Mus musculus: one gene and its partners. The protein of the gene in region 2 interacts with the protein of the main gene of each other region in a biochemical or structural test. Links are inferred from orthologs where the notes say so. Each region holds a gene or a part of one and is shown on either strand. Other genes may lie near its edges. The genes, in order: Ddx58, Trim25 and Zc3hav1.

What was found.
Region 1: of the proteins of Trim25 (region 2) and Ddx58, one has a biochemical effect on the other in vitro, tested with the Homo sapiens proteins (5 studies listed by BioGRID, with this or other methods). The link is inferred for Mus musculus from reciprocal best matches to the Homo sapiens genes TRIM25 and RIGI.
Region 3: of the proteins of Trim25 (region 2) and Zc3hav1, one has a biochemical effect on the other in vitro, tested with the Homo sapiens proteins (2 studies listed by BioGRID). The link is inferred for Mus musculus from reciprocal best matches to the Homo sapiens genes TRIM25 and ZC3HAV1.

What each region holds. Positions count from the first base shown.
Region 1 is NC_000070.6:40,219,596-40,229,670, forward strand, and holds part of Ddx58 (antiviral innate immune response receptor RIG-I), read right to left. Parts: coding exon 9,900-10,075; intron 8,519-9,899; coding exon 8,371-8,518; intron 7,125-8,370; coding exon 7,002-7,124; intron 6,111-7,001; coding exon 6,003-6,110; intron 5,599-6,002; coding exon 5,445-5,598; intron 4,462-5,444; coding exon 4,203-4,461; intron 2,603-4,202; coding exon 2,440-2,602; intron 909-2,439; coding exon 804-908; intron 1-803.
Region 2 is NC_000077.6:88,995,452-89,006,271, reverse strand, and holds the start of Trim25 (E3 ubiquitin/ISG15 ligase TRIM25), read right to left. Parts: upstream 6,870-10,820; 5' UTR 6,784-6,869; coding exon 6,190-6,783; intron 1,544-6,189; coding exon 1,448-1,543; intron 1-1,447.
Region 3 is NC_000072.6:38,329,720-38,339,794, forward strand, and holds part of Zc3hav1 (zinc finger CCCH-type antiviral protein 1), read right to left. Parts: intron 6,946-10,075; coding exon 6,693-6,945; intron 3,470-6,692; coding exon 2,423-3,469; intron 2,143-2,422; coding exon 2,044-2,142; intron 1-2,043.

The DNA of each region.
Region 1 (10,075 bases), on a different chromosome or scaffold from region 2:
GGGAGGAGGAGGAGGAGGAGGAGGGGCAGAGTTCCCAGTTCAAGGCCAGCCTACACTGAACACAGAGATTCTATCTCAAGAGGGGAAAAAAAGGAAGAAAGGAAATTTAGAAGATGATTTAAAGACAGTATTTCTCAGGTATGTATGTCCAGGTGGATGTGTTTTGTATTTAAAAAGAAAAAGGCAAGAGAGAATTAAAGAACTCCTATAAGGTTCCTAAACAACCTAGGATTAAGAAAGTCTATATCTGAGCCAGGTATGGTGGCGCTTGCCAGAGACCCCAGGACTCAGAAGCTGAAGCAAGGGGACCCCTGCAAGTTCAAAGCCAGCCTTGTCTTCATAGCAAGTTTCAGGCCAACCAGGGACACAGGGAAAAAAACCTTGTCTTAAAAACAGCTAGAGAAATGGGGGCTCCTCAGTGGTTATGCGCACCAGCTACCCTTCTAGAGGACATGGGTTCGATTCCCAGCAGATGTGGTAGCTCACAACTGTCTGTAACTCCAGTTCCCGGGTATCTGATACATGTGATATACATACATACATGCAGACAAAAACATCTACACATATCAAATAAAAATAAATCTTTTTAAAAAGGAATGGAGAAAAAAATGATGGCAAAAAAGAATGAAGAGATAAAGAAGATACAGAGACAGAAAGAAATATGTGTGAATAAATAAGTCAGTCCACCTCTGAGTATAATCTCACCCAAAACTGAAGACACTAACGAGCAATCCATGAGTACCTCTAAATGGAAGGGACAGGAAACATGAGATTTCTCTCTCCAGGACTTGGCACAGGCTTACCAAGTTCCTCGGAGACATCCTTGGCTAGCTTCTCTGTCTCCTTCATCAGCTGAGAGATGATGCATTTAAACGTGTTCGAAGTCCGGGATGCCACTTTCCTGGAAACTGGGGTCAAAGGCATGTGAGTAAGCTGAAGGAAACCCAGGTCCTATGCAGCCATTTCCCGAAGCTGCTCCATCCTGGGTAAGTCCTTTAAAGCCACAGGCTCCAAGCTCACGTGGCCCAAATCACAGCAGGCGGTCAGAAGCCTCTGACCTCGGAACTGCTTCTGATTCTAGTGTCTCTCCTGGTCTAGTCTAAGCCAGCGTCTCAGTCAGCTTTCCTGGTGCCTCTACTGTGGCAGGTCTGGCAGCCTTCTGGTTTCGGCAAATACCATACTCCAGCCCCGTTTTCCTGATTTCCTATTCTCCTGCGCACCTCCGAGCCCCCAAGAGTGCCCCCATTGAGCTTATCGTTCACATTTGTGTACTTTTGGCAGAAAAAGAACTGCCTGTCACATGTCCTGTTTCAGTGACAGAGAGCTGACAAGAGCTACCCTATGCTGCACAGAAGGCAGGTTCTTTCTTTCTTTCCTTTTCTTTTCTTTTCTTTAAAGATATTTTCGTTATTTACATTTCAAATGTTATTCCCTTTCCTGGTTTCCCCTCCAAAAACCCCCTATCCCCTCCCTCCCCCCTCCCCCTGCTCCCCAACCCACCCACTCCTTAAAGGAAACAAAGGTGTGCTCCTAAACCCGCCCATCAGAGCCCTGGGAAGCAGGTGCAGGCCAGGAAGGCATCTCTCAAAGAGGGGAGGAAACCTCATTCTCTCCGGGGAAGCTGCCGCAAGATGAATAATAAGGGAAAAAGGAAGGCGCGCAGGAGCTGGGACACACCCTCAGAATAGCTCGTAGAGGGTTTGCATAGACGGAGAAAGTGACACAAAATGACTTTGAAGTAGACTAAGCTCCAAGGGCTCAAACTGTAGAAAAACCCTTGAGTGTTGCTAAGGGGTGGGCGTGGGTGGGGAGGCACCTTCTTCACACTCTCCACGGGGGACTCTCAGAAAGAACCAGGGTTGTGCCATCCCAACCCCCACCCCCCCATTGCTCATCCTGCCATTGACCCTGCCATTGATCCTGCTGTCAACTCACAGAACGAGTGCTCAGGCCAAGATCCAGCCGTGGGTAACTACGGTACCTCCCTGCTTACACAGGTAGTTAATAAGTAATAACCATCTTCTAATGAAGCTCATTTTAAAAACATGTTCTGGCCTTTTGAACTGTCATGATTCGGGTCATGCCACTACAATGATCAGATACATACAAGAACAAGATGGCCACATAGCCCCTGCCTAGGGCCCGGAGCACAGAGACCTGATTCCGCCACTAGCTATTGAGGCTTTCAAAATGCTTGAATCTTCCCACTGCCTCCTTCACTCAGCTGCTGGTAAAGAGTAGGGATGTTTGTCCCTTTCTGGCTACCTTTGAGACTCATGCGTCGCTAGGGAGAAGAGGTTGACTAGGGAGAAAGATAGGCAATGTAACCACTATGCTTTTACCAAACAAATACAGCATCAAACTTCATCCACTGTCTCTGACGCAGAGGGGACAGAAGGTTACAAAGTCGCGAGGTGTGGGCTGCTGACCTCCACTTACTTTTCTGGGGCTTATAAACGACCTGTTCCAGTTCTGCAACGTTGTCTCTGACTGTGGCAATCACGGAGGCATCCAGGGCGGCACAGAGTTTACAGATATGTTGCATGGCTTCCTCCGCGGTCTTAGCATCTCCAACGCCGACGGAGGCAGTCAGCCCAACGACCTGTAAGGAGCACCCCACCACTGGCTCTCTGACATTCTCCAGCACAAAGACCCCCCTGGAGCAAAGCTCGGAAATAAATCTAGCGTGTCATCCAGAACAGAGAGGAAACCTTTCCAGGCAGGGCTACCCTGTTTTTTTTATCCCCCAGTCTCTTACTAAACATCACAATGGGAAGAAAAAGTCCATTCCAGGCTCATTCATATCACATGCATTTTGTGCGCCTGGACAAATACCTTCAACAATCAGTGAGTCGTGTACAAGAGAGCTGTGTAGATTCAGTATGATAACACCCTTCAGTAAGCATTCACCTAAATGATTAGCTGGACGGTAAGAAATCTGCTTCCTAGCAACGATACTCGAGAATAACAAACTGTGGGTCCTGTACTAAATGTCCTTTAACCTGCACGTCCTAAAAAGGTTATTGTTGGAGCAAAAGAATTGTATATAATTCATGGTTTACAGCTTCTTGGGGCCCCTGATAGATACACTACCGTCATTCTTTATTGCATCTATCAGTGCCTGAGTCAAACCGTCCTCATCCTCTCTAGCCCCCTCCTGTTTCTATATCGTTGACTTTCAGCAAAGCACCCCCTCTCCTATGATAGACAGAAGGAGAATTTGTACTCCTCTTGTCACATGTAAGAATGACTCTGAAGTGACTCTTCTCATATGACATCAGAAGGCTGCTGCTTGTTCCCTGTGCTAAGCCATCCACTTGCCCACTGACGCTCTGCCCTCCTGGTGTCTCTGGGTCATCTGTCATAACAATCAGCTTGACTGTTGTTCCCTGCTTCACACTCTACCCTCAAGTGATACTGTAGAGTTTTAAGGTTCTGGGGCATGTCAGGCCCTTCCATTTCCCTGAGCCCCTGGACACACAGCACCCTCTTACTAGAAACCAGAAGCTATCTACCTGGCAAGCCCCTGTCAGTTCCCTTCATTTCTATGCCTTATTACCCCTTATGTTCTGACAACACCCTTTACCTGTCTCTGCAGCATACCTCATGATAAGCTGTGACTACTATGTTCCTGGCTCCCTGCAAACTTAACTGTATGAGAGCCAGGACTATATCTTCTGTATTGGTGTCCCAGAGCCTAGAACAATGCACAAGGTCCATGGAAGCCCATGGTTTATACAGCTGGCCCTCCAAATCCAGAGGTTATATAAATGTGAATTCATACAACCATGGATCAAAAATATTTTTTAAAACTTCATAAGTACTAAACATGTATGAATTTCCCACCTTTATTCCCTAAAAATTACAGTACTAGAACTATTTATATAAAATTTTCATCATACTGTACAATATCAGTAATCTAGAGAAGATTTAAAGTATGCAAGAGGAAAGTGTGTAGATTATATATAAATGCAATGTCATCTCATACAAGAGACTTAAGCAGCCTAGATTTTGTTTTTTGTGAAGGGCATCTACCCTGGACACCAAGGGACAACTGTTGGTCAAATGAATGAACCAACATTGACCACTGAGTTGTACCGATGGACTGAGACCCCGAGGAGGGCAAGCTCAAATGTGGCTACAAAAGAGCAACTAAGTGGGACTCTGAAAAACTGTGGTTCTTCTTAGAAGATTGGAAATACCTGAGGCAGTGGGTCCCGTGACTCTCCAAGTTTGTGGTCTAGGTATCTGAACATGATCTGATTGTATGGGTGGTTTTTGCTAGTGTTATGACACTCATCAAATATCATCAGAGTGAAGACAGACAACGAGGGGATGGCTCCGTTGTTGAGATTGTTCACAAGAATCTGGGGTGTCAGGATGATGATATCATTGTCTTCAATGATGTGCTGCACTGAGACGCTATCAGATGTTGCCCCAGAAATGCTCGCAATGTTGTACCTGGGGAATGACAGAAATCCCTTATCATCAACCTTGATGTGAATGAACAAGGAGACAAAGTAGAAGTCTAGGTCAGAGCAGCAATTAAAGAAGTCAGCCCAAGCCCAAAAGAGTACAACTGGGTAGTACCTTGAACTTTCTCACAGGCCTGACACAAAGCCGGGGAGTCAGGAAATGCAAGAGGTTATAGCTGATCACAGTGTATTTATTCTTTCAAGTCATTAAGAGAGAAATGATTTTGAAAAGAGTAATAGCCAATCAAGTATAACATCATTAAGGATGACCTGTGTATCGCCTACATGTTAAATTTGGCCACCAAGTTCATTAACTGTCAGAGCATGACATGAGGGCTTAGCATTTCTGGTAAAGTTAAACCAAAAATGTTATTGCACAAAGGAACTACCTCTAAAAGTTAAGTCCATGGCGATTTTCCTTTAATCATAGCTTTGAAAATCAGAGAGGGCTGGTGAGATGGCTCAGTGGGTAAGAGCACCTGACTGCTCTTCCGAAGGTCCGAAGTTCAAATCCCAGCAACCACATGGTGGCTCACAACCACCCATAATGAGATCTGATGCCCTCTTCTGGAGTGTCTGAAGACAGCTACAGTGTACTTACATATAATAAATAAATAAATCTTAAAAAAAAAAAAAAGAAAGAAAATCAGAGAACAGCCAGGCATGCCAGTGCACACTGTAATCTCAGCACTTGTAGAAGCAAGAAGATCATCTCTTCTAGGCCAACCTCAGCTACACAGTGGGTTGGAGACAACTCAAGGCTACGTGATACACTGTCTCAGAAAACACACAACAAAGCCCCCAAAACCAGACACAACAAAGCCCCCAAAACCAGACACAACAAAGCCCCCAAAACCAGACACAACAAAGCCCCCAAAACCAGCCAAAGGGGCTAGAATTTAAAATACAAACATAAACAAAACAAAAACCAAAAATCAAAGCAGTTAGATTGATTGTAGTAGTACATACCCAAGTCTTTCAAAATATCGTGAGAACACAGTTGCCTGCTGCTCATAGACAGGAATTTGGTTAGCGAAGAAGACCACTTTCCCTTTTTGTCCACATGGGAATTTTTTAAGATGGTGTTCACATATAAGAAGCGACACAAAGGTTTTTCCACAACCTTTTAGTAGGGAAGAAAAAAGAAAAAAAAAGAAAAGAAAAAAAAACCAACAGATAACCTGTGTTAGCTGTTTTTCCAGAATGGTACTTATTTTGGCTTCTCTATGACCACTGGGATACAAATAAACTAATAATCCCTCCTCCGCACTAACAATGACAGTTTAAACAATGGCTGAAAAGTGCCAAGCTACTTCCTAAGTAACGTGCACTCAGGTAGCAAGAACCAAAAGCAAACTAAAGAAGACACTTATCTCCCTCCTTATCGCTGTCCAGGTTCCTTAAGCTGCTAGACCAGCTCTCCCATGGGCAGCATGGGCCACGGGGAAAACTCCTCCTTTTACAGCCCCCAAAGGGGGAAGAAAAAGCGAAGCCAGAGAGTTCTGTGAGTGACAGCAACTGACTTACCAGTAGGGGCACATATTATTGTATTTTTCCCTTTCTTGGCAGGCAGGGCAAGCTCCAGTTGGTAATTTCTTGGTTTCAATGGGCTGTGTAAATTATTAGAAGACGCTTCTGTAATATAGAGGGGACAAAGTTATCGAAGGGTTCATGCTACAAGGAATCATGGTGCAACTGCCATTCAGTGGACATGAGTTCTGACTCTAGCAACAATGCCCCTGTTTGAGGTTTGGGATCTTGGCCAAAGTGTGTTCTCTCTCTCTCTCTCTCTCTCTCTCTCTCTCTCTCTCTCTCTCTCTCTCTCTCTGTTACTTCTTCCTTCCTTCTTTTCTCTTTGAAGATTTATTTATTATTTAATGTATATGAATATACACATTGTCGCTGTCCTCTGACACACCAGAAGAGTACACCAGAGCCCATTACAGATGGGGTAAAAACATTAACCCAGACGCTGGAGTCACTATGTGGTTGCTAGGAATTGAACTCGGGATCTCTGAAAGAACAGTCGGTGCTCTTAAACGCTGAACCATCTATCTCTCCAGCCCCATGAATTCTTTCTTAATCGTGGAAACTTTATCAAGAAAAAGGACAGCAAGAATGGCCTAATTCAAAACAAAGCCACTTGGAACAAAGTAAGAACAGATCATCAAAAACAGCCGAGGAAAACCAGCTGTCAGCCCAGATTCTCAAAGCCATTGCTTAGTGAGCAGAAGTGTTCTTTAGAGAGCAAGGCTGCTTTGAGAAGTCATGGACACTGAAGTTCTGGGAACACGGTACAGATGAAGGCATACATACTGGAGGGAGGGGGAGGGGAGGGGAGAGGAGGGGGAGGGTTGAAGGCCATGCAGAGGCCATGGAAGACAGGAGCAGGGATTCTAATTATGAAGTCCCTATTGCCCCACAAATTCTTTCTTTTCTTAATCATCCTTTAAAAAGACTTTTTTTCAAAGGGCATCAAAGTGCTGGGGGACACCATCATGGATGAGAGCAAACGATGCTTGGTACCTGAAGGAGGCCCGGGATTCTGACTGAGATTCTGACACTCTGGCTCTTCCTGAATGAAAATCTGGATGCTGGACGCCTCCGCTCCATCATCCTCATCAGCCTTGCTTTCAGCCCTTTTGAAACCTTTGTGATAAACAGGCAAGCAAACAATCATAAACACAAATAACAGCTTACAGCTTAGAATCTTTTTTTTTTTTTTTTGGAAGGGGGTGGTGGTCGAGGCAGGGTTTCTCTGTATAGCCCTGGCTGTCCTGGAACTCACTCTGTAGACCAGGCTGGCCTCGAACTCAGAAATCCACCTGCCTCTGCCTCCTGAGTGCTGGGATTAAAAGCATGCGCAATGTGATTATGGTTTTGGTTGGGGAAGTCCCAAAAAGTCCTAACACTAACACTAAACATCTAAATTTCCGTTGAGCTCTTACAATCACGGTCTTGCACTTTCTTAACATTTTATTTATTTTTGAAATGGATTTGTTTACTGTGTGTGTCACACACGACACAGTGAGTGTGCCGAGGGATGAGGACACTGTTTGGGGATTGGTTCTATCATGTAGGCCCTGGACGTTGAATTTGGGTCTTCAGGATCAGTGGCAGGAACCTTATCCACTGAGCCATCTAGAGAGCCCCACTTTGACGGCTTAAAACAACTGCAAGGATTATTCTGAGTTTGAAGCTCAACTTGGCAATTGAATTCCAGTTTCATCTGGAACTACGCGACTCCAAGTGTGGAACCCGGGGCTCTCAGCAGTTTGCATCCGGAGCCCCTCCCCACTCCGGAACTCACGCCAATAACGCAGGGGCGTCATTCCTGAGCACACTAAAGAGACAGGATTCCATCTCTGACCAACGATGTAGAGAGTTTCTGGAATAATTTATGTTCTAAGGAAATCTAGGTGAGAAAGGAAACTAGAAACTCAGGTATTTATCAAGGTCTGTTTAAAGCAAGAAGTGAGTTTCCGGAAGCCAAATGAGGTTGGCTTAAACACAGAAAATCTTCGTTTACTCTTGCTCTGTCGGAGTCCAGATGGCTTCCGGGCAAGAGCACCAGTCCATAGCTATCACCCCCAACACTCAGCCTCTGCTCTGATAGGGAGGTAAGTCTTGCAGTTTGAACCTTTAGGTCTAGAATTCTCAAGCTATTTCTCTGATAACAAATTGGGGCTGGAAGCCTTCCCTAGATTCTTTGACCTGGTCGGGTTAATTCCATGCCATGTAGTTCCCTTCCTCCCAGAATTCAGCTTTCCACTGCTTGTATCCTAGGGATATAGCCTTTGGTATCTGAAGTGAACAGCGCCTCTGATGGAAAGTAAAGTGGGGAGAACTGGGAGGAGCGCAGCAGGGTCCAGGGTTCTTTCTTGGAGCACCCCACCTTTATCAACAATCCACAATTCACTAAACTTGCTGTTGTCTTTCTCCAAAGCAAGTTGCAAGACCTTTGGCCAGTTTTCCTTGTCGGATCTGATAAGACATTCGGCCATCTTCTCCGCACCTGCCATTCTCCCTTTAGTGTCTCGGATCTGGGGGAGACAAATGCAGCACACTGATCAGGCAGCTCAGCCTTTCCTCTGGCAAGCTTTTGTGGAAGCGGTATCTGATTGAAATCACTGTGAAGTATAGTTGAGTAGGGCTTAGTTAGCATCATCTTTTTGCCCTGTCCAGCACTAGCTTTTAAGATATTCCTTTCTTCACCTTTGTCCTTTATAATGTGTTATCAATATGCCAAGGCAAATGTTCTCATCTTCTGAATCCTTATATCCCTGACCAAGAGCAATCCTGGGGTAAAAGCGTTAACCCAGACGCTAACCATTCACCCTAAGGATGTATCGGCACACAGAGCCATTTGGAAATGCCTAACAGCACAGCAGCAGGTCTCTTTTCTAAGCAGATGTTCTATGACTTTTCTTTCTAATGATAACTGAAATGCATTGTGCATAGACTGCTATGCATCAAGCTGACATACACATTTTGTGCATGACCTCTCATTTAGCCCTAAAAGAGTGCTAATAAGGTACATTTTCGTCGGGCGTGGTGGTGCATGCCTTTAATCCCAGTACTCGGGAGGCAGAGGCAGGCGGATTTCTGAGTTCAAGGCCAGCCTGGTCTACAGAGTGAGTTCCAGGACAGCCAGGGCTACACAGAGAAACCCTATCTCGAAAAAACAAAACAAACAAACAACAACAACGACAAAAAAACCAAACAAACAAAAAAACAAAAACAAAAACAAAAACAAAAACAAAAGGGGGCTGGAGAGATGGCTCAGGGGTTGAGAGCACCGACTGTTCTTCCGAAGGTCCTGAGTTCAAATCCCAGCAACCACATAGTGGCTCACAACCATCCGTAACAAGATCTGACGCCCTCTTCTGGAGTGTCTGAAGACAGCTACAGTGTACTCACATATAATAAAATAAAATAAAGAAATCTAAAAAAACAAAAAAACAAAAAACAAAAGATAAATTTTCTTACTTTAGACATGAAAAACAAACAAACAAACAACAACAACAACAACAACAAAAACCCCACAGATGCTTAGAGAACTGCCTGGCATCACATCACTAGTTAAGTGACTGCGAGACTGTAATAAATGTATCTATGCCCAAGAGCCTGACATATTTTTCCTTTTAATTGTTGCACTGTTTGGTGTGATTTGCATTATGCATAAACCACTATTTTTTTTAAAGTAAGGGGGCAACTTTAACTGCAAATAGGTTAAATAATTTTCTAATAGTCTAGCACAAAAATTACCCCATTCACTTTAAAAATTCTATTCTAGTCATTATATCTGCTAGATGAGAGCTTTTATGGGTTTCAATTATCCTTGGGCCTAAAACAAGACAGAAAAATGGGCATTTCCAATGTCTCTGCATTTTTCTTCAAATTTAGTACCTGGCATTGGTTTACCTGTCTGATTTCTTCACATTCCTGATTAATCAAACATTCGGATAGTTCAGAAAGGATATCATTTGGATCAACTGTGGCCTTAAATTCTGGTTCTAAACGTCTTAAAAGTAATCTGTGTTCCTCTAACTTTTCAATTTTTTGAAAGTCCCAACTTTCGATGGCTTCACAAAGTCCAC
Region 2 (10,820 bases):
GCACTGGCTGTTGTTCCAGATATCCAGGGTTCGATACCCAGCACCCACATGGCAGTTCACAACTTTCTGTAACTCCAGTGCCAGAGGATCCGACACCCTCACACACACATACATGCAGCCAAAACATCAATGCATGTGAAATAAAAATTTAAAAAAAAAAAAAAAAAAGGAGAGAGACCATCTTGAGTTAGCCAGGTGAGCCCTGAGTCCAATAACAATGGTCTTATTGTAGATGGAAGAAAGGTACTGGCAAGACAGAAGCAGCAACAAGACAAGGAAGACCTGAAGCTTCCTCCTGGAAGCTGGAAGAGGTAGGAAGGATTCTCCCCAGAGGACGACGTGACAACAATGACAATATCATTATTTCATCATCATCGTCGTTGTAACCATCATCATTTCTTCTCCTCCTCCCTTCCTTCATCTTCCGCTTCCTCCTCCTTCCTAGATCAGGTCTCACTATGTAGGCCTGGCTAGCCCAGAACTCACAGAGATCCACCTGTCTCTAGTTCCTAAGTGCTGGAATGAAAAGTGTGCACCACCATGCCTTGGCGTATTCACTGACTCTTAATGTTTTATTTCCTGTCAGAGTGAAGGCGAGTACCACAGCAGGAATTTGGAGGTCAGAGGTCAACTCTGCAATGTCAGTTCCCACCTTCACTTGGATTCCCGGGATTGAACTTGGGGGTCAGGCTGCACAACAATCACAACTCAGCCATCTTTCTAAGCCTTTTACCCCTTCATTTTTAATGATTCTCCCAAGGCCGGGCTTGCAGGGAGTTTTTCTGATGAGCATTTATAAAGGCTATTTCTTGGACATAGAGCTTTCTGAATGCTTTGCAAGGCTATTTTTTTAAGGCAAGAGTTTCCTGCATTGGGGTGCACCACACCTTTAATACTTAGCACTTAGGACACAGAGGTAGGCAGATATCTCCGTGGATTCGAGTCCAGATTAATCCACACAGTGAGTTCCTTGAGAGCCAGGGCTAAATAGTGAGACCCTGACTCAAATACAAAATGAAACAAAAGCCAGGATTTCCTGTCCCCCTCCAGGCTGATCTGGAACTGACTATGGAACCAAAGGTGGCCTTGAACTTATAACCCCACTCTACCACAGTTTTGTTTGTTTGTTTGTTTTTGGGTTTTGTTTTGTTTTGTTTGTTTTTCGAGACAGGGTTTCTCTGTATAGCCCTGGCTGTCCTGGAACTCACTTTGTAAACCAGGCTGGCCTCGAACTCAGAAATCCACCTGCCTCTCGAGTGCTGGGATTAAAGGCATGCGCCACCATGCCCCGATTCTACCACAGTTTCTGTGGTATCAGGATGGAACCCAAGGCTTCAAGTGAGCTACCTAAGCACTCTGCTGACCACCCGATTCCCAGGCACGCCCAGGCCAAGTCCTCCCAGAAGAATGAGGGGGTTTGGAGTTAGAGTGGGGGAGGGTCACTCACCTGCACACACTGTTGCTTGGATCTCACATCCTCCAATGCTTTGGTTGCCCCATTGATGTGGCTGTGCATGATAGTGAGTTTATTCCTCAGTTTGTACTGTAGAGAAAACACATAGGGTGAGAGAGCCCCTCCTTAGCCTATGTCCTAGCCCCTCCCCCACATTGAGGACCATTCCCTCCCTAACTCCGCTGCCCCTTCAGGAAGACAATACAAGACTTGGAACCAGCTGGGCGTGGTGGCCCACACCTTTAATCCTAGCACTTTGGAGGCAGAGGCAGGTGGATTTCTGAGTTTGAGGCCAGCCTGGTCTACAGAGTGAGTTCCAGGACAGCCGAAGCTATATAGAGAGACCCTGTCTCGAAAAACCAAAAAAAAAAAAAAAAAAAAAAAAAGACTTGGAACCAAAATGACCCTGTTTGTTTGAAAGCCTGTTCCCAGCCATATGTCTTCTGTCTCTTTCTTTGGCCATGAACAGAAACCACTGGTTTGGTTAAGCAGCTACAGGGACAATCAGGAAGACTAACCAAGGACTGTGCTCAGAGCCCTGCCTGGAGGATCTGTCAATACTAAATGTCAGCTTCTATTCTAATACATTTCTTTTTCTCCTACTCATTTTACAGCTCATGAAATCCAAGCAAGGGGGACAGCAAGTGGCCCAGCTCACAGAGACGTAACAATCTGGAACAGCTGATTCTGTAACGGCAGGGTGAGGTCGCTCACCCTACCACAGCAAACAGCCTTGAAAGTAGACAAAATATCAAAGGTGCTGGAGAACTAAGAAAGCCTTGGCATTTCCAGAAGGGGACCCAACGAAGGAGCCCAACACCCAAGGCTGTCCTCCCCAGGGGAGACTTCCAGGAGGGGGAAGGAAGCTGGGTGAGGCTTTGTCACCTCCAGCAAGGCAGGGACAAATGCACAACTGTACTTGGCCACCCCAGGCCAGGGCCACTGAGGGCTGAGAATCAGGGTAAGCTGGCCACTGGGGCTTGAAAGAACTACACTGATTCAAAACTGTCTGGCTCTCAGCCACCTCCAGGAGCAAGTTTCCTATGTCCCTGCTAAGATAGATCGGTGCCATACAGAGATGAGAAGGGACACTCCACCATCAGTCATGAGGGCTGTCATGAAGGGCTCACACACTCTGCCAGCACCTGACACCTACTACTTCTAGAGCAACACGGAAAAGTAGACATCACTCAGACACGACAGAAGGATGTCGAGGAATCAGGCGACTCAGCCAAGACCACATTGTTAGTAACTGGCACAGGTTACTAACAATGGTACTAAATTTATAAACAAGTGACCAAACTGTGTGTGCTAGGAATTTCTACAAAAAAAAAAATATTATAATAGCATTTCCTTCCCCTAATGAAGCAGCTCAACACACAGTAGCTCTCTCTTCTACTTTCCTGCTTCCTCTACTCCATCAGAGCTGGACCTAACCTTGGGGCTGGATTTGCACCATCCACTGGCACTCGTTAAGGGCCGGATACAGAGATCAAGGCTGCGCAAACTGTAGCCAGAAAGCCCAGATCAGTGATGTTTGGCTCAATCTCTTTGACACAACCCTTCCCCCACCTCAGGTCTCCAACAGTGGCGGAGATAGATTTGGGTCAAAGGGCAAATCCAGGCAGAACTACCTCCCGGGCTGGAAGAAACATACGGGTGCTAGCAACTGACTCAATTCCAGAATTGAGTGCACTATGAGCCCTCCACACTAAAAAGGTTATCCACCATTAAGCAAACACAGATAACAGTCCCCTCATTGTGGATGGGGGTCCACTGCACCCCACTCCAAATCAAAGAGAGGCAGCTTGAGGACTGGTCAAGGATACAGAACTCTGGGAAGCCTGGGAGAGCTTGTGGCAGACCAAGGACCTGGGTCCTCCACGGGGGAGAGAGGGGAATCCTGAGTCTGCACCCCCAAACTAGTAGCCGTGATACTCAAGACTGAGCACGCTTGCCAGGGTCTGGCACTGAGACAGGAAGAACAGCAGCTGGGTTGAAAAACATATGGGCAGGAGGTTGGCAGGAGGAATCCTGGTATCGGGATTAAAAAGTCAGCAGGAATGGCCGCTCACTCCTGGCTGGGGAGGCCCCTCATGCCCCCACTTACTTCTGCCTTGGTAAATATGTACTTATACAGCAGGGTACTACTACAGGGATTGATGGCAAGTCCACTTGACTGGGACAGAGACCAATCTGGACACTTTGTCCTGCCTGGGGCTGCCCCAGAGCACAGACCAGGGTGCCCAAGCCCAATAATAGAACCGGTAGGTAGTAACTTACATGGAAATCTTGCAGAGAGTTGACTTATCCACTTTCGCTTCTTTTATTACATTCATTTAGTTGTGTGTACACGTACACACACACACACACACACACACACGATCACATGCATACGGATTGTCGAGTCAAAGACCAGCTTGCTGGAGTTGGTTCTCTTTTTACCATTGGTCCCAGAGATCAAACTCAGGCCAGAGCCTTGGTAACAAGTCCCTTTACCAGCCAAGCCACCTCCTTGGCCACTGGTTATTTGTGGTTGTCTTTCTGAGACAAGAGTCTCACCCTGTAGCTGACCTGAAACGATGTAGTCCAAGCTGGCCTCAAACTCATGATTTATCTGCCTAAGCCTCCCAAGGGCTGGAATTACAGGCATGAGCCACTACACCAGCTTCACTTCACCCAAGGTTCACTGTAACTGGAGCATGCCTTTTTTTTTTTTTTTTTTTAAGATTTATTTATTTATTATATGTAAGTACACTGTAGCTGTCTTCAGACACTCCAGAAGAGGGAGTCAGATCTTGTTACAGATGGTTGTGAGCCACCATGTGGTTGCTGGGATTTGAACTCCAGACCTTCGGAAGAGCAGTCGGGTGCTCTTACCCACTGAGCCATCTCACCAGCCCTCACTGTAACTGGAGACCATCATGTTCCCCATTTTATTCTTCTGTAGCTGGAAGCTACTGCTGGGGGTCACAATTTAAACCAAGATCTTGGCACTGAATCTGGGAGGGACCTCTTAAGTGCCAAGCCTCCTGACACCGGATCCTGCCTCTGCGGCACTTCCCTGGTGGCTCTTGACCTACCCAGAGATCTGTAGGGTCTTGCCCCAAGCCAAACAGCTAGCTCTGGTGGTAGCAAAGACAAAAGCACCAAAGGCGGGGCAGACTTTCTCCCAGAACAGCTAGACTTGGAGGTATCCGTACCCCGTACCCACATGGGGTATACTGAAGAGAACTCTAAAGATGTTACCTGTAGATACAGGTGCCAAGAATCAGAGGGAAGACATTCTAAGGGACCTGACTAAGACCCAGACAGGCAGGCAAGGCCAGGGAAGGGCTGTGGCAGGAGGAGGGAGCGGAGCTGAGATCTTGGCACCACACAGCAAGGCTTGCCAACCTCACCCAGGTTTCCAATTCCTTCCACAATGTTGGGACAGGCCTCAAGTTCTCAGACGTTTGAGAGAGAAAGGAGATCAGATCACACTTTGACAAATGTACCGAAGAGAGGCAACAACTGCTTTGAGTCTGTAATGGGGGGGGGACCTCTAAAGCCACTAAAATCATTGCAACCCCACAAGGCCATTAGGAACCCTGACTCCCTGACACACGCTTCCAGTCTTTAGCAAGGCGGACCCAGGTCCAGAGGCCCAATTCCTGCTCAATTTCTTTTTTCTTTTCTTTCTTTCTTTTTTTTTTTTTTTTGGTTTTTCGAGACAGGGTTTCTCTATATAGCTTCAGCTGTCCTGGAACTCACTCTGTAGACCAGGCTAGCCTCGAACTCAGAAATCCACCTGCCTCTGCCTCCCGAGTGCTGGGATCAAAGGCATGCGCCACCACGCCAGGCCCTGCTCAATTTTCACACAGCAAGATGGACTACACCAACTGAGCGCGTGCGTTTAGTCTCAGCACTTGGGAGGCAGAGGCAGGCAGGTCTCCATGAGTTCAAAGCCAGCCTGGTCAATATAGCAAGCTCCAGAACAGCTAAGACTACATAGTGAGACAGTCTTAAAAACAACCAAAAAAGGGCTATACCACAGTGCCAAAGTCACAAGCAGGGATTTCTGAGGCTCTGTGTTCACACTCACTATCCATTCACACCCTCCTCAACAGAGGCTTCTGTTACCCTTAACCTCAAGCTTCCAAGACTGCTCCATGCTCTGGACTCAACAGATCTGTGGTCTACAGGGAAAAAGGAAACCAGAAGCTGTGACTCAAAGCAGCCTGGTTCCTGCTAAGCTAATTTCTCTGGGCCTGTTTTCCTGAACTAAACAGACACAGCCCTGAGCTGTGGAATGAACTAAACAGACACAGCCCTTTCGTGCTGCCAGGATCTGAAGGGGTTGGAGAGGTAACCCCCAGGGTTCCTGGTTAATATTCAAAACTACTGAACTCCACTGGACAAACACAGACTTGGGGCAGGCACTCTTACCTGTGCCTTCCGTTGTGCTCTATGTAAAATAGAACTAAGAGGGCTGGAGAAGGCAGGCGATAATGGATGAGCGGGAGGCTATATAAAATCTACTTGTTTGGTCTGTGGGGATGGCTTCCTACTGCCCAACTCCCAGACTGCGGCCCACGGAGCCTAAGGCCATGAGGTCTGTGAAGGAATGGGATCTCTGGCCCAGCAAAGCCTATCTCCTCTAGCAACCCACTGTACTACAGGGATACCCAGGATGGCCTCTCCACAATTCAGCTGATCCAAGCTGTCCTCTATACCCTCAACCAGCCACTCCCTACCTCCAGGTCGGCGCTGGCTTGACTTAGGGTCGTAGGGGAGCAGGTCTTGTGCTCTACCAAGCAGATATGGCAGATGCACTCGCCATGCTCGGGACAAAACAATTCCCGAAGGCGGTTGTGCTGGGTACATTTGCGGCGCAGAAGGTCACGAATGGGCGACTGTAGGGGGTGATCCTGGAAGGCCGGACTGTCGAAGTGAGGCCTCAAGTGCTCCTGGCAGAAAGAGGCCATGCACACGAGGCACGTCTTCACTGCGATCTCCGTCAGGCAGTGGTCGCAGGCCACCTGGGTGGCTGCGCTGGAGGCGGAGAAGCGGGCAGGAGGCGTCCAGTCGTCCACCGGGGTCCGCGCCTGCTCGGCCTGCAGGAACTGCTCCACCACCGCGCACATTACCGTGTTCTTTTGCAGCTGCGGGCGCACCTGGTACACTTTGCGACATTGCGGGCATCGGTACGGCGGGCCCTGGACGACCCACGTCTCATCCAGGCATGACATGCAGAAATTGTGGCCGCACGGAGTGGTGACAGGTTCCTTGAAGAGCTCCAGGCAGACGGAGCAGGACAGCTCCTCGGCCAGAGGATTCAGCTCCGCCATCGCGCTCGTGGGCTCACCCGACGTGACGCGCAGGGACAGCTGCGCACCCTACCGCGCGGTACTTAAGAAGCAGCGAGGAAGGAATCGAAACTGAACAGGAGGGGCGGCGCCCTGGGGCTTCAGGAAGTCACGTGGGTCCCTGGGGGCCGGACAGTGGGCGGGAGGCTTCCCTCCTGGTGCTGGAAGCCAAAGGTGATTATGGGACCTGGGGAACTCTGATGCTCTCCACACCCCGCGGACCCGAGCGACGCACGACCCAAGGGCTACCAGGTGCAGTTTCAGAGGCACTCTGCAGATGAATTGTCGCAGGGGCTGGAATATTCCCACCCTCCTGGTCGGGGCCTACGTCCTAGCACAGTGCAGCAGAGCTTTGGAGAACATTCATCTGTGTCCCCGAGGTGTCACCAATCATCCCTCCAGAACAGGACCGGTCTTATTAAAACTCAAAGCCAAACAGAACAAAATACTGTTGACCCAGAGCTTGGTGGCTCGTGCCCGTAATTTAGTCACTTAGGAGGCTGAGGCAACAGGATTGCCGTGAGTTCGATGTCAGACCGGGCTAGAGAGTTAGTGGCCGTCTCAACATCTAAAAATAGGGTTGGGGAGATGGCTGTACAACAGAATATGAGACCTAAACACAATTACTAAAACCCTGGTTAAGACTGCACAAAATTGACACCCCCCTCCCCCAATAACATACACATAATAATTTAAGGAAAAGAAAAGAAACAAAACACAATTCTATGGACTGTGGCTGTCTTCCCCTTCCCTTCCCGCTCCGTTCCCCCTCCCTTCCCCTTCCCTTCCCCCTCCCTTCCCCTTCCCTTCCCCCTCCCTTCCCCTTCCCTCCAGCTGTGCTGCCTTTGTATGCAGCTCCCTCTTCTTTCCTGATGGTGGGCTCTGACAAATCTCCTCCCAAGCCCTAAAGGCAGGACCCTATGGTCATCCATTCAGATCTGGTGTTCCTTTTATGGTAGATGATCTTTAAAACAACAACAACAAAACCTAATATTACAAAAGTTGGGTGTCACAACTTTTGCCCCAAGTCAGCTCCAGCCACCGGTCCTTAAGCCAATTAAATGAGCCTACTTAAAAGAGGAAAACAGAAAAAAGAGACCCAGCAAACCCCTCAAGTCCACCTTCCCCGTTCTGAAGTGAGAACAGAGTTAAAACAGAAGGCAAAAATATTTGTATCTAAGTGCCAGTCCAGACCTGGTCCAGCCTACCAGTGGCCCATCATTGTCTGGGATTCAATCTCATTTGGTAAGCTGTTCTGTCCCACAAGCTGTACTAACTGTGAAATCTTTTCCCAGGAGACAAATTCTCCCTCTGGTCTCTCCCAGCATGAGATTCCAAGGAAACTCCCATTTCTCTGGGGTTCACTGTTTCAATAATGTAACAGATTGAGACACAAGTGTCTCTTAAGAATTTCTTCATCTAAGCCAGATTGGTTATAATACTTTTAAATTGGGTGAGGTGGGACACACCTATTATCCCAGAACTCTCTCTGGGGAGACTGAAGCAGGAGGAACTCAAATTCAAGGCCAGCCTGGGCTACATAGAACCCACCCTACCCTCACTTAAGTAATAAGGGTCTGGGAATATAGCTTGGTGGTAAAGTCCTTTGCCTAGCAATTTTCAATACTGAAAAAAAAAAAAAGAGAAATTTTTACTCACTTGGGATTTGGGGACTCCCAAATTTAACAAATGTTTTCTCTCTTATATGTGCACATACAGTATTTTTTAAAAAAAGATTTATTTATATTATGTACATTGTAGCTGTCTTCAGACAAACCATAAGAGGGGTATTATATCCCATTACGGATGGTTGTGAGCCACCATGTGGTTGCTGGGAATTGAACTCAGGACCTCTGGAAGAGCAGTCAGTGCTCTTAACTGCTGAGTCATCTCTCCAGCCTTCACACACAATTTTTTTAAAAAGATTTATTTATTTATTATATGTAAGTACACTGTAGCTGTCCTCAGACACTCCAGAAGAGGGCGCCAGATCTCATTACGGATAGTTGTGAGCCACCATGTGGTTGCTGGGATTTGAACTTGGGACCTTCAGAAGAGCAGTTGGCGCTATTAACCACTGAGCCATCTCGACAGCCCCCTTCACACACAATATTGAAGCTTCAATTTTTTTTTTTCAAAATCATTCATTTAGGCTTACATTGTTTTTAGTTCTGTAAGGCAGTCCTGCAATCTGGGCTGAGTGCAGAACAGAAGGGTGGACAGGAGAATCCGAGTGTCTGATGGGAAATTCCACTGTGGGAAAGAAGCTCCTTGAGGGATTATGGGAGTTTACCTTGGATGACAATGTTAAGCAGCCAAAAGGACAAGGTAAATATCTCATAGTATCTAATAGCCATTGTTTATGAGGCACCTACTGTGTGCCAAACAAATGGAGAATATTACCAAGACACCTTTACGAAGCCCTAAGAGGGGCATCCTACATCCATTTTTATTGTGAAGGTCAGGATACTGTTACAAAGGAGCTGGGATGAGCTTGGGGCTGCCCAGCATAACATCCTAAGCGCTGGTTCCCCTAAGTTTCATCACATGGACTTCTGTTTCCACAAGACTTATCATCCCATCTATTCTGGTTCGTATTTTGGTGGTGGTAGTTGTCTGCATGGAAAAAGAAGAAAACATTCTGCTGGGGTGGAAGGCTGGGAGTCCTTACCACAACCTGTGAAGTAGATAAAACCATCCCACTTTACAGAGAAAAAAGAAACAAAAAGGCTTAGAGAAGCCAAGCAATCCAGCCAAGACAATGGATGCTGGCACACGCCCTATCTGGTTCCAGAAGGCAAGTATTTCCTACTACAAAATGCTGCCTGCCTGTCTGCCTGCCAAGGGAGGGAGGAGACAGTTTCCAGGAAATGAACAGTATAGAATCCACCTCTAACCTAATTATCGTGGGTGGAGGAGTCTGGTGACTCAAGGGGAAATGTGGAATTCTCTTTCTAGGCTGAATCGTTGAGAAAGGCTGGTTGGACAATGACGATCATTTGGAGAGCCGAGCACGCTCCGTGTTTATCAAATTCCAAGGGGGAGATAGTCACAAAGACCTATTACACGGTAGGTGTGCTACAGAGCAAGAGCTGAAGGAGTCTGAGGCAAACAGATCTGCCTTCTAATACAGAGATCATTGAAGTAGAGTGTCCCGGGAGGCATGGGTTTCTCATCTGTGAAGCCCGGAGCCCCACACATCTCCCCCACCTTTTAGTTTATATACACACATGGCAGGTGGTAATGCGCAGGATGGCCCATAACCTTTACTGGGATCCGCTGATGGGAGACCAGGGATCGGCTGGCAGGGTGTGTTTGTTTTTTGATATAGCTGATATCTTCCGTCCAGCAATGTTGCACAGCCAAATGGGACCTGGTTGGTCAAGAGAGGACTAAATACCTGGCCTGATCCAGGTGATGGCTGGCAATCATAATAGGATTCCTGCTCTGAGTCTAGAGGATAGGAAAAGTAGGTGGAGGAACAAGCCTCATTTACCTGTAAATATAACACCGATTATTCCCATCCATCGGGGCAGCCCTCATTAAACTTGAGCTATAGTTCCAACACACCCTTGTGAAGGATGCTGATCCTCAGCTGAGAGAGAGCCAGAGAGGCTGGGGATGTAGCTTAGTGCAGGAATGTGTGCAGATCAAAGGTTAAGGGTGGGGGTGGGGGAGCCAGAGGCCTACTGTGTGTAGGCTCAAATGACCAAAGACCCACTATGCAATAGGCTTGTAACAGACTCAGCCTGAGCTCCAGATGGGAGAAGGTCCCAGAATCTAGGTCTCTTAGCTCAGGCTGTTTGTTTTTTTGTTTTTTAATTTTGTTTGGTTGTTGTTGTTGTTGTTTTTAAATGTGCTGTCATATCTATGCCTGGAAACATTTAAAAACAATCTCCTACTGTCTCCAGATTTTGAAAAAGATCCTCATTATATAGCCCAGACTAACCTCAAATTCCTCCGGCTTCTGCCAAGGTTATTCCTAACCATAAAATAAATGTAAAGACATCTAAGAAGCT
Region 3 (10,075 bases), on a different chromosome or scaffold from region 2:
TTCCTCAAGCTGGTATCTGATACCCAATTTGGACTAGATGTCATGTTTTTGCTTATTTTAAGCAGTATTCCTGTTTGTGGATATTCTGATGTTCACTTTAATTATAGATATATCGAAGAAAGTTGTGTCATTGTTAAGCTAATGCCCCCAGCACATGTGGCAAAAGATACTAGAATGGACACTTGCTGAGTAAGGAACTATTTATTATCATCCCAGCGAGAACACAGAGAATGCAGAAACTAACCTCTCAAGTTCTCAATGCTGGCTTTAAATCACTTATATATATATATTGTTTGTTTGTTTGTTTGTTTGGTTGGTTGGTTGGTTGGTTGGTTGTTTTTTCAAGACAGGGTTTCTCTGTATAGCCCTGGCTGTCCTGGAACTCACTTTGTAGACCAGGCTAGCCTCGAACTCAGAAATCCGCCTGCCTCTGCCTCCCGAGTGCTGGAATTAAAGGCGTGCGCCACCACACCCGGCATATACATACATGTATATATATATATGTATGTATGTATATGTATATGTACATGTATATATATGTATGTATGTATGTATGTATATATGTATATATATATATACACACACACACACACATATATATATATACATATTTTTTTAAATTTCATACCTGTGTGCTGTATTTCCATCATCCTTCTCCCTCCAGGCCCTCCTGGACCATCTTGAATTCATGATCTCTTTTTCTTCAATTATTATTGCTGTCATATACGTATGTGTCTAATTGATATATATATATGAGTAAATATATAAATATAATGGGTTTTTTAAAAAATGATTTAAAATTCTTAGGTGCATGTGTGTGTGCCTGCATGAGTTTATCTACACCATGCAAATGGAGGCTAGGAGGCTGCATAGGATGCCCTAGAACTGGAGTCACGGTGGTTGTGAGCAGCCGTGTGGGCGTCAGAAACTTCATCCAGACCTCTACATAAGCTCAACTTCTGAACCATCCCACCTGCCCCTTAAATGGCTGCGAAACTGTTTAAAAATACATGGCTACTTTACAATAAAAAGGCACTACAGAGGAACTCACAGAAGGGTAATTTATAATATTTAAAAAGACATTAATGGAGGAGGGCAGGGAGGATGGGGAGGGGAAAGGGGAGGAAAAGGGCTATTCTGGAGGTAGAAGAGTCATTTTCTTCAGTGGTGTGGCCATTGATAAGCTGCCTATGCCCCTGTAAATAGCCCCACACTTGAGCTTATTCGAGCCATCTTGATTAAACACAGTGGGTCATTACCAAAAATAAAAAGGACATACCTTTTGGAGGGCTTGTTGGAAAGGGGGGAACGGGAGGGGAGGAGAGGAACGAGAGGGGGTAATAGGTGTGTTTATGAAAATAAAAAGTGTATTATGGGGCTGGAGAGATGGCTCAGCAGTTAAGAGCACTGTCTGCTCTTCCAGAGGTCCTGAGTTCAATTCCCAGCAACCACATGGTGGCTCACAACCATCTATAATGGGGTCCGATGCCCTCTTCTGGTGTGTCTGAAGAGAGTGACATTGTACTCACATACATAAAATAAATAAATTTTTTTTAAAAAAATTGCACTATAGAGAGGCCCATTGGACACGCAAACTGTATATGCCCCAGTACAGGGGAACGCCAGGGCCAAAAAAATGGGAATGGGTGGGTAGGGAAGTGGGGGGGAGGGCATGGGGGACTTTTGGGATAACATTGGAAATGTAATTGAGGAAGACATGTAATAAAAATATTTTTAAAAATTGCACTATACATATATAATTATATAATATTATATATATATGATATTATAAAAGTTTTTTAAAAAAAGACTCAAGAGACAGCAAGAGGAAAGAGGGAGTATAGGAGGAAGGGTTAGAAAAATAGCTAAGCTACAATGGAAAAATCTTCTCTAAAAATCAAACAGATTTATTTACCCTATGATCCAATTCATTAGATCACTCAAAAGCAACAGCACGGTCTCCAGTAAGTACTGGCGTGCGCCATGCTCACAGCAGCAGTACCCACAGTGGCTAAAGGCATCCTACGGAGATTTGCAACTTACCCTGCTGACAGCCCCTGTACAGATGATCCAGACAGATTTCCTTCAGGCCATGATCATCCATCCTAGGAGATACAGGATTTACGATGTAGCATAGGGAATCTGCAAAACAAAAGAGGATGTGTGTATGCCAGAAGTGAGGACCCTGGCCTCACAGTGAAGAAGATGTCGTCCATGGGGTCCACATTCATGTGCCTCCCTGGATTCGGGGTGCTCTGGAGAGCCTGCTCAGCCCCTCTGTTTTATGAATCATGGACACCAGGGCACCGGAGACTTCTGGGTATGAAATGATTACAGTTCTCAGGTAGGCGATTCAGTGCCGTGGTGTTGTGTTTGTCTTTCCCTATGCACTCAAGCCCAGGGAGTCCCCTAGGCGACTTACACTCAGCAGGGTCTGACATCATCATCATCATCCTCGAGGGCTCACTGGCTGGGCTCACAGAGGCATGGGTGGAGCTCTTGCCAGGGCTCCCAGAGGCTGCAACTCTGTGGCTTGTGGAAGAAGACAGAGGTGACGGAGGCAGCCTATTGCTGCCCTGTACAGGAGTAGTGGTCTCCCCAGGCATAGCCAGGACATGGCTTCTCAGACTCTGAACTCCAGAATAGACTGCTTCTTTTCCTCCAGTGACTGCTGATTTTATGCCAAAACCAGTGGGACTACTTTTAGAGACATTAGGCGTTTCATCCATAATTTGACTAAAGCCATTTGGGCCGTTATGGGTAGATGTACCTGGCCACGCTGGGTTTTCTTCATATTTACTATGCAGGAATGCCGTGTCTTGGCCACTGTCAGTGATTCTGCCAGCGGTCTGGGGATCCTGGGTCTTAGCCACACTCTTCTGATGGTTGCTAGATAGTATCATTTCTTCCAGACCGTTGTCTGTGGCCCTTTTACCTAGAATTCCTGAGACTGTTGCTTCTTCCATTGTTACCCCATCAATATAACTATTTAAAAACGGGACGCGATCAATGTCCTCGTTCTTGCCCTTGACCTCGACGTGGTGTCCTGAAGGCATGCCCATTTTCATGGCCCCAGCTTCATTTCTTTGTGCCGCAACGAGAGGAAAGCCAGCAGCAGAGGTTCGACTTGTGGACGAATCAGAACGATTCCTAGAAAACAAGCCATCTGGATCCCCATCCTCCAAAAACTCCTGGCTTGCTCTCATTTGACTGGGTCCTCGGACACCAGCGGCCTTAGATGAGACGGAGGAAAGCTGTGCACGGTCCTGAGTCCCCAGGTACTTGAACTTCTGGGTGACATCTGCAGACACATCCTCCAGGGGATCCTTACAGCCGGTGACATCTGGGCTAGGGGGACCAGATCCCAGAGGTGAGACCGTTGAGAGAACCTCTAGACTGTTGTGATGGAAGCGGTCTCTGCTTTTGCTTCTGTCCCTGTGTGCCCCGCCTCTGCGATGTGGGTGGGGAGCTGGAAAGAGAAACCCAGAGAGAAAATTCAAGCTCGGGTTAGTTCCTACCTCCATGTTCTCTCTGCTTGTCCAGCCCTGTAGCTGAGTTCTATCATAGGAGTTTCCTAAGTGGTGGCTGCGAATCTTAGGACGAAGCTGCAACCTGGCAGAGTCCACAACAGCAGCGTGTGGGTGGCTCAGACAAGGGAGGACTCCAAAGCTCCTCTGGCCTCTCCTGGGACTCAGTGAGCCCTCCAGTCCCCAAGACCCCAGGTGGGGTGTCTCCAGACTCTAGTTCTGAGTTAACGGTCATTACTACAGCGAATGACAGCTGAAATGTAGCCAGTGAGAGAAACATGTCCACGACTCATGGAGACGTCACGCATTCCGATCTGGGTTCTGGAACAGGCACTTCTAACACTGAAACCAAATGGTAAATGGCTGCAGGTTCAAGCTAAGCCTTCGTCTAAGCCACAAACTCTCCAGGCTTCTTCCTCTAGCTCCCTTAGCGCCTCTTGAGGCTAGGGCTGTTGCTATCTATGTACTGTAATGGTCTAGTTGTCTCAAGACAGGGAATTCTCACAGATGCCAGCTTTTGTTGTGCAAAACCTTAATCCTTAATTTGAAACTATTGTTTGAATAAAGATGCTTACAGCTTGGCTGAAGAGAGGTAGGCGGGGCTTAGCTTCCCAGGCTTGGCTTCTGAGTAGAGACTGAGAAGAGAAAGGAGAGAAGGGAGAAGGGAGAGGGGAGAGGGGAGAGGGGAGAGGGGAGAGGGGAGAGGGGAGAGGGGAGAGGAGGAAGAAGGTACCATGGGGTAGGTGGATCATGAGCACATGGCCGCGAGGGACGGCCTGATGGAGCAGAGGCAGCCCAGGTGGAACATGGCAAGTGATAGTTCAGGATTATTGACAGGGAAATAGACAAAATAGCACAGAGCGTTGATATCTGCCCAGCTCTCGTGCTTTAAAGGATTATTATAAATATAAAGGCTTTGTATTTGGAAACTAAATGACTTAAGGTGGGGTAGAAACACCCAATTAATATTTACCACACCGGGCGTGGTGGCGTACGCCTTTAATCCCAGCACTCGGGAGGCAGAGGCAGGCGAATTTCTGAGTTCGAGGCCAGCCTGGTCAGAGTGAGTTCCAGGACAGCCAGGACTATACAGAGAAACCCTGTCTCGAAAAACCAAAAACCAAAAACCAAAAACCAAAATATTTACCACAAGTGCCTAAACTTATGAAAAGCTGAAATTGAAGGCAGACGGGGTGGATCATGCCTATAATCCCAGTGCTTAGGATGCTAAGACAGGAGTCCAGCCTTGGCTACACAGCAAGTTCTAGGCTAGCCTGCCCTACATTGTATATATATTGAAGGGAGAAAAAAAATCCGGAGACGCTGATAAAGCAGCATCTTTTCTCTAGAAAAGTCTGGGAAGCAGAGAAGACAGGAGTGACCCAGTGTGTGAAGTCTGGCGTGGTACCTACGTAGGTGACGTCTGTTGTGGAAAGGCATTTGAAAGCTGGGGGTGGAGGTGCAGTAGGGTCTGTTTGCTTATGAGGAACATGTGTGTATTATCCTGGTAGAGGAAAGGGGACAACAGTATTGTGGCAAAAGCAAGGCTCCCCTGTGGAGAGCTTTTGGGGCTGCTTCTAGGAGTTTGGTAGGAATTTGATATCAGGCTGGGACAATGAAGTAGGCTCAAGGCAAATACAGATGAAGAACGTGTTCTTTGGATCTGGACCATCCTGATAAACCCCTAGACACAGTGACCTCTGTTTATTGCCTTGATTTTTGCCCTGCTTGTTCCTTGACTACTTTGTCTACGCCTTAAGGACTGACCATATTCTTTGTATGTACCCAGAATGATATAAAAGCAGACTGGAAAAAAATAAACTCGCCTTTAGTCTCAGAACTGGCTGGGGTCATGCTACAGTGTTGTCTAACTGTCTTTTTTAACCCTCACTCCCGACCTGGAGAACCCGTTGACTGCCTGAGCTAGCTTAGTTACTCCCCCGTCATGATGTCTAACTACATAGCTTAACTAGAAGTAACAATGATATGCAGCTCTCTCCCGCACGCTGTGAAGAGCTCACAAACCCACCTCTACAGTCACTCTCTGTTCAGGGCACTGTGGTGTGGAAGCTGCATTCCTGTGCTCGGGTCACAAGCACGGCTTTTGATTTCATCTTCACAGTACTGTTTGGTCTTCCAAGCATGAGTTAAAGCTGCTTAGGACTTATAACACTCCTTTCCTTACCCTAGGTGAAGTTAATGAGTAATAAACCCGCCATTGATCACAGTTTCGCTGTGAGGAGTAATGATGACAGATTCTGGGGCAAAGTCTTCTGTAGACTAAGTACCAGGAGACGTAGCTTTTCATTGCTTCACTGCAGATCCTAGAGTCAGAGATTCTACCCCCTTCATAAACTTGGCTTCTACTGCGTCCACTAGACAAGAAGAGCCAGTGAGATGGCTCAGTGGATAAAAGTGCCTGCCACCAAGCCTGAATGACTTGGGGTTAGTCTGGGGAAAGAGAGCTCCTGAAGTTGACCTCTGACCTCCACACATATGGCTGTATATACACACACAAAATAATAAGTAATACAGTCATGCTGGCCAGTCTTATTATGTCAACTTGACACAAGCTAGAGTTTCCTGAGGCTAGCCTCTGTCTCCAAAGCCCTGGAATTAACTGATGCACACATGTCCCACCCCCAAGCAAACTTTTTTTTTTTTTTTTTGAAGACAGGGTTTCTCTCTGTAGCCCTGGATGTCCTGGAACTAGCTCCATAGAACAAGCTGGTGTCCATCTCAGAGATCTACCTGCCTCTGCCTCCTGAGTGCCGGTATGTTATATAAAAGTGTGTGCCACCACCACCAGACTATAATAAGCTCTTTTAAAATGAGGGGATAGAGCCACTTGTAAAACTGCATACACATCATTGTTTCAATTGTATTAAAGTGGTGCATGCAGATAGTGAAGTTGAGATTTTACAGGCAGATTTCTTGCAGTTTTCCTTCTGTTTGTGTTTGCTGGCTTGCTTGTTTTTTGAGATGAGATTTCTCTGTGTAGCCCTGGCTGTCCCAGAGCTCACTCTGTAGATCAGGCTGGCTTCGAACTCAGAAATCCTCCTGCCTCTGCCTCCTGAGTGCTAGGATGAAAGGTGTGTGTCACTATGCCCCACTGTGGTTTCTGTACATTTGCAAATTCACACAGTTAAAAGGGAAAGGGCATACCTCTCATGCTAGGGGGGTTCCTCCGAGTGTGTTTGTTGTTGCAGATATCCTGGATGTTCTGGACCACATCAGAACTCAGCCCATGCTCCCTCATGATGGCCAACACCTTCCTGTCCATCAGGTTATGAGACCTGAGACAGTTGAGGTAACTGCAGTTGCCCCGGGTGAAGTGCTCACAGATGTGGAGTCTCTCGCAGGGCTGCGGCTGCCCGCAGATCTGTTTGCGGCCCTCTCCTTTGTAACTCTTGCATATCTAGAGAAGAAAGAAAGAACCATGAGGCAAGAACACCTGGACCTGGCTGCCACACCACCAGTTAAGGGTGCAGCCCCCCCCCCCAAAAAAAACAACCCAGGAGAGCCATGGGGGAAACAATGCACGCAACACCCAAGGCTGATGAGATGGCTTCAACTGGTGACTTATTTGGGGACAGAAGAGTCGAAAGAATTAACAGACAATATCACGTATGATGGTGCATACCTGTAACCCAGTGTTCAGGAGGCCGAGGCAAAGAGGATCACAAATGCAGTGCAGAAACCTTGCATTTAAAAGAAAGGAAACTTAAAGGAGAAAAATAGTGATGAATTTGATAATTCCTGGGAGAATCAAACTCACATGGCAAGCTGTACACAGGACATCATAAGGGAGCCCCAAAGAGGAAGTCTAATTTGGATCTTAACTTACTCTACCGTTGAAAGGAAAAAAAAGTGTGTGTGTGTTATTTGCAACTTTGGGATTTTGTCATTTGTCTCTGATAGCCAGAATAGGACCTGTTCAAATGATTTTGTATGTGAGGGGTGGGAGAGAGGGAAGAAGTAGGGTGATGAACTCTTTTAAAAAAAAAGAGATTTATTTATTTATTTATTTATTTATTTATTTATTTATTTATTATGCTTACAGCGCTCTGCCTGCATGTGTGGCTGCAGGCCAGAAGAGGGCATCATATCACCGTATGGATGACTACAAGTGGTTGCTGGGACTTGAACTCAGGCCCTCTTAACCTTTGAGTCATCTCTCCAGCCTTCCTTGACCTATGAAGACATCCACCTGCCTCTGCCTCCCAGGAACTGGGATAAAGGTGTGCACACTCCTCCCCACTTGGTTTTTGTTTGTTAGCCAGAATGAAAGGTGCGCACCACTGTGCTGCTCAGCCTTGCTTTCAGGTTTTGGACACGAGGACTCATGTAGCACAGACTAGATTTCAACTCATAATCCTGCTTCCCTGACCTCCCAAGTGCTGGGATTGCAGGCACACACCACCATAACCAACTCAGTAAGGAAATCCTTACCCACTATCTAGACTCCCTTTGGGGGTCAAATAGCAGGGTAAGATTCATAACAGCAGCAAAAGTGCAGTTATGATGTAGCAATGAAATAATTTGATGGTTGGGGGTCACCCACAACACAAGGAACTGCATTAAAGGGGCACAGTGTTAGGAAGGTTCCAGTGTTCTATTTTTTTTTTAATTTATTTATTATATATAAGCACACTGTAGCTGTCTTCAGACACCCAGAAGAGGGCATCAGGTCTCATTACGGATGGTTGTGAGCCACCACATGGTTGCTGGGATTTGAACTCGGGACCTTTAGAAGAGCAGTCAGTGCTCTTAACCGCTGAGCCATCTCTCCAGCCCCCAGTTACAGTATTCTAAACAAACACATCTGCACACATAGCTCTACAGAGCTGGAGTAAAATCCAGGGATGGTGCAATCAGATCATGTGGCTACAGGGCTAACAGAGACTGCTTTAAAGTCAAGGCCCTAGAAGCAGCTGGGTAACCTCCCGGTCCCAGTGACCTTCTAGTTTCTGTTTCCTTTTCGACAGCAGAAGGAAAATATTTGTTCTGTCTGCCTGCCTAACATCTGTTGGGAGGCGGCGTGACAAAGTATAAGACTGTATTGTGCAAAGTAAGAAGTCTGAGGCAGGTGTCTGAGCCACTAGGTGAAGAAAATGATTAGTCATTAGCCTCACCTTGCAGGCAGCTGAAAGATGAAGGTGTTTAGTTCAATAGGCTGTATGAACTGGGAATGAGTCTGGATGCAGAGACAAAGGCTGACCCCAGGAATAGTGACAGAGCCTCTAGAACCAGACTTCAGCGCATAAGTGCTACCGAATCTAATTCTAGACCACAGTTCTTAAAGTGAGGTGTCTGAACCATGAGCATCACCTGGACACATAGAGGAATCCAGGAGCTGGCTTGTAACACAGGCCCTGGGTTCAATTCCCAGTAGCAGGTACACCAAGCATAATAGTACGTGTCTACTACTATGAGCCCTCAAGAAGTGGAGAAAGTATGTCTGTTTGAGGCTAGCCTGGGCTACATAGGGTGCTCGTGTCTCTAATAAAACAAAGAGCAGGTGAGGTGGGGTATACCTTTAACCCCAACTAGGAAGGCAGAGGCAGGTGGATCTCTATGTGTTCAAGCTACACAACGCCCTGCCTTCAGAGCTCAGTGGACACCTCAAAAATCACCTGTTGTGCCAGAGTTTTTAAATGCCCCCAAATGGTCAATCCTCAAGAAATCTCCATTGGCTAGCTTGTCTTATCTAACAGAACTCCAACCTTCTTGGCAGCTTCATATCTCTTCTACCCTTCCATCTCTTCCTGTATTGCTCTGCCTCCCTGTCTGTCTTCTGCCCCTTTCGGCGTTGCTCCTGCTCAGTCTCCCATTCTGTGTGAGACTGCTAATGACTTTGTATTGTGGGTACACTCAGGGATTCTCCACTCAAGGGCTTTTCTCGGGTCATGCATGGTCCTTTGAGCAACATCAACTGACTCTCCACTCTATAAGCCTATGCAAATAAGACTTCATTATCTTCCATCATCTGTCTTTCCTCTAGTAATAGAAGTCCTTGACAGGCAGCCACTCCGCCAGCAACTACATTTCTCAGCCCCACTTTCAACTAATATGACCATGTGATTAGCACTGGCCAATGAGATGTGAGCAGATGTGCTACACACAGTGTCCAGTTTTCAAAAGGGTAAACTGCTTGGCTTCAACTTCCCTTCTACAATCCCACTGACTAAAAAGTGGTGACAGAAATCCCTGTACTAAGAGATGAAAGCCACATTCCGAAGACAACAGGGCTCGTAACTCACTAACATGAGTCTTGCAAAAAGGTGTTGGACCCTCTTCCCAACCCTGCGGCATATCTGCCTGCCCGCATCCACACAGGACCCAGAGGCACCGTACTTCTGTAACAATCCACAGTCAACAATTTAGGCTCTTCTGGCCAGTCAGTCTCTGTTGCAACTACTCACCTGACCCCTGGAGGGGGAAACAGAAACAGAAAACCTGTAAACTCATCTGCACGGCTGTGTTCCACTAGACTTTTATTTCTGGACTAGGTTTGGCTTCTGGGCTGTAGCCTACTGGTCCTTGAT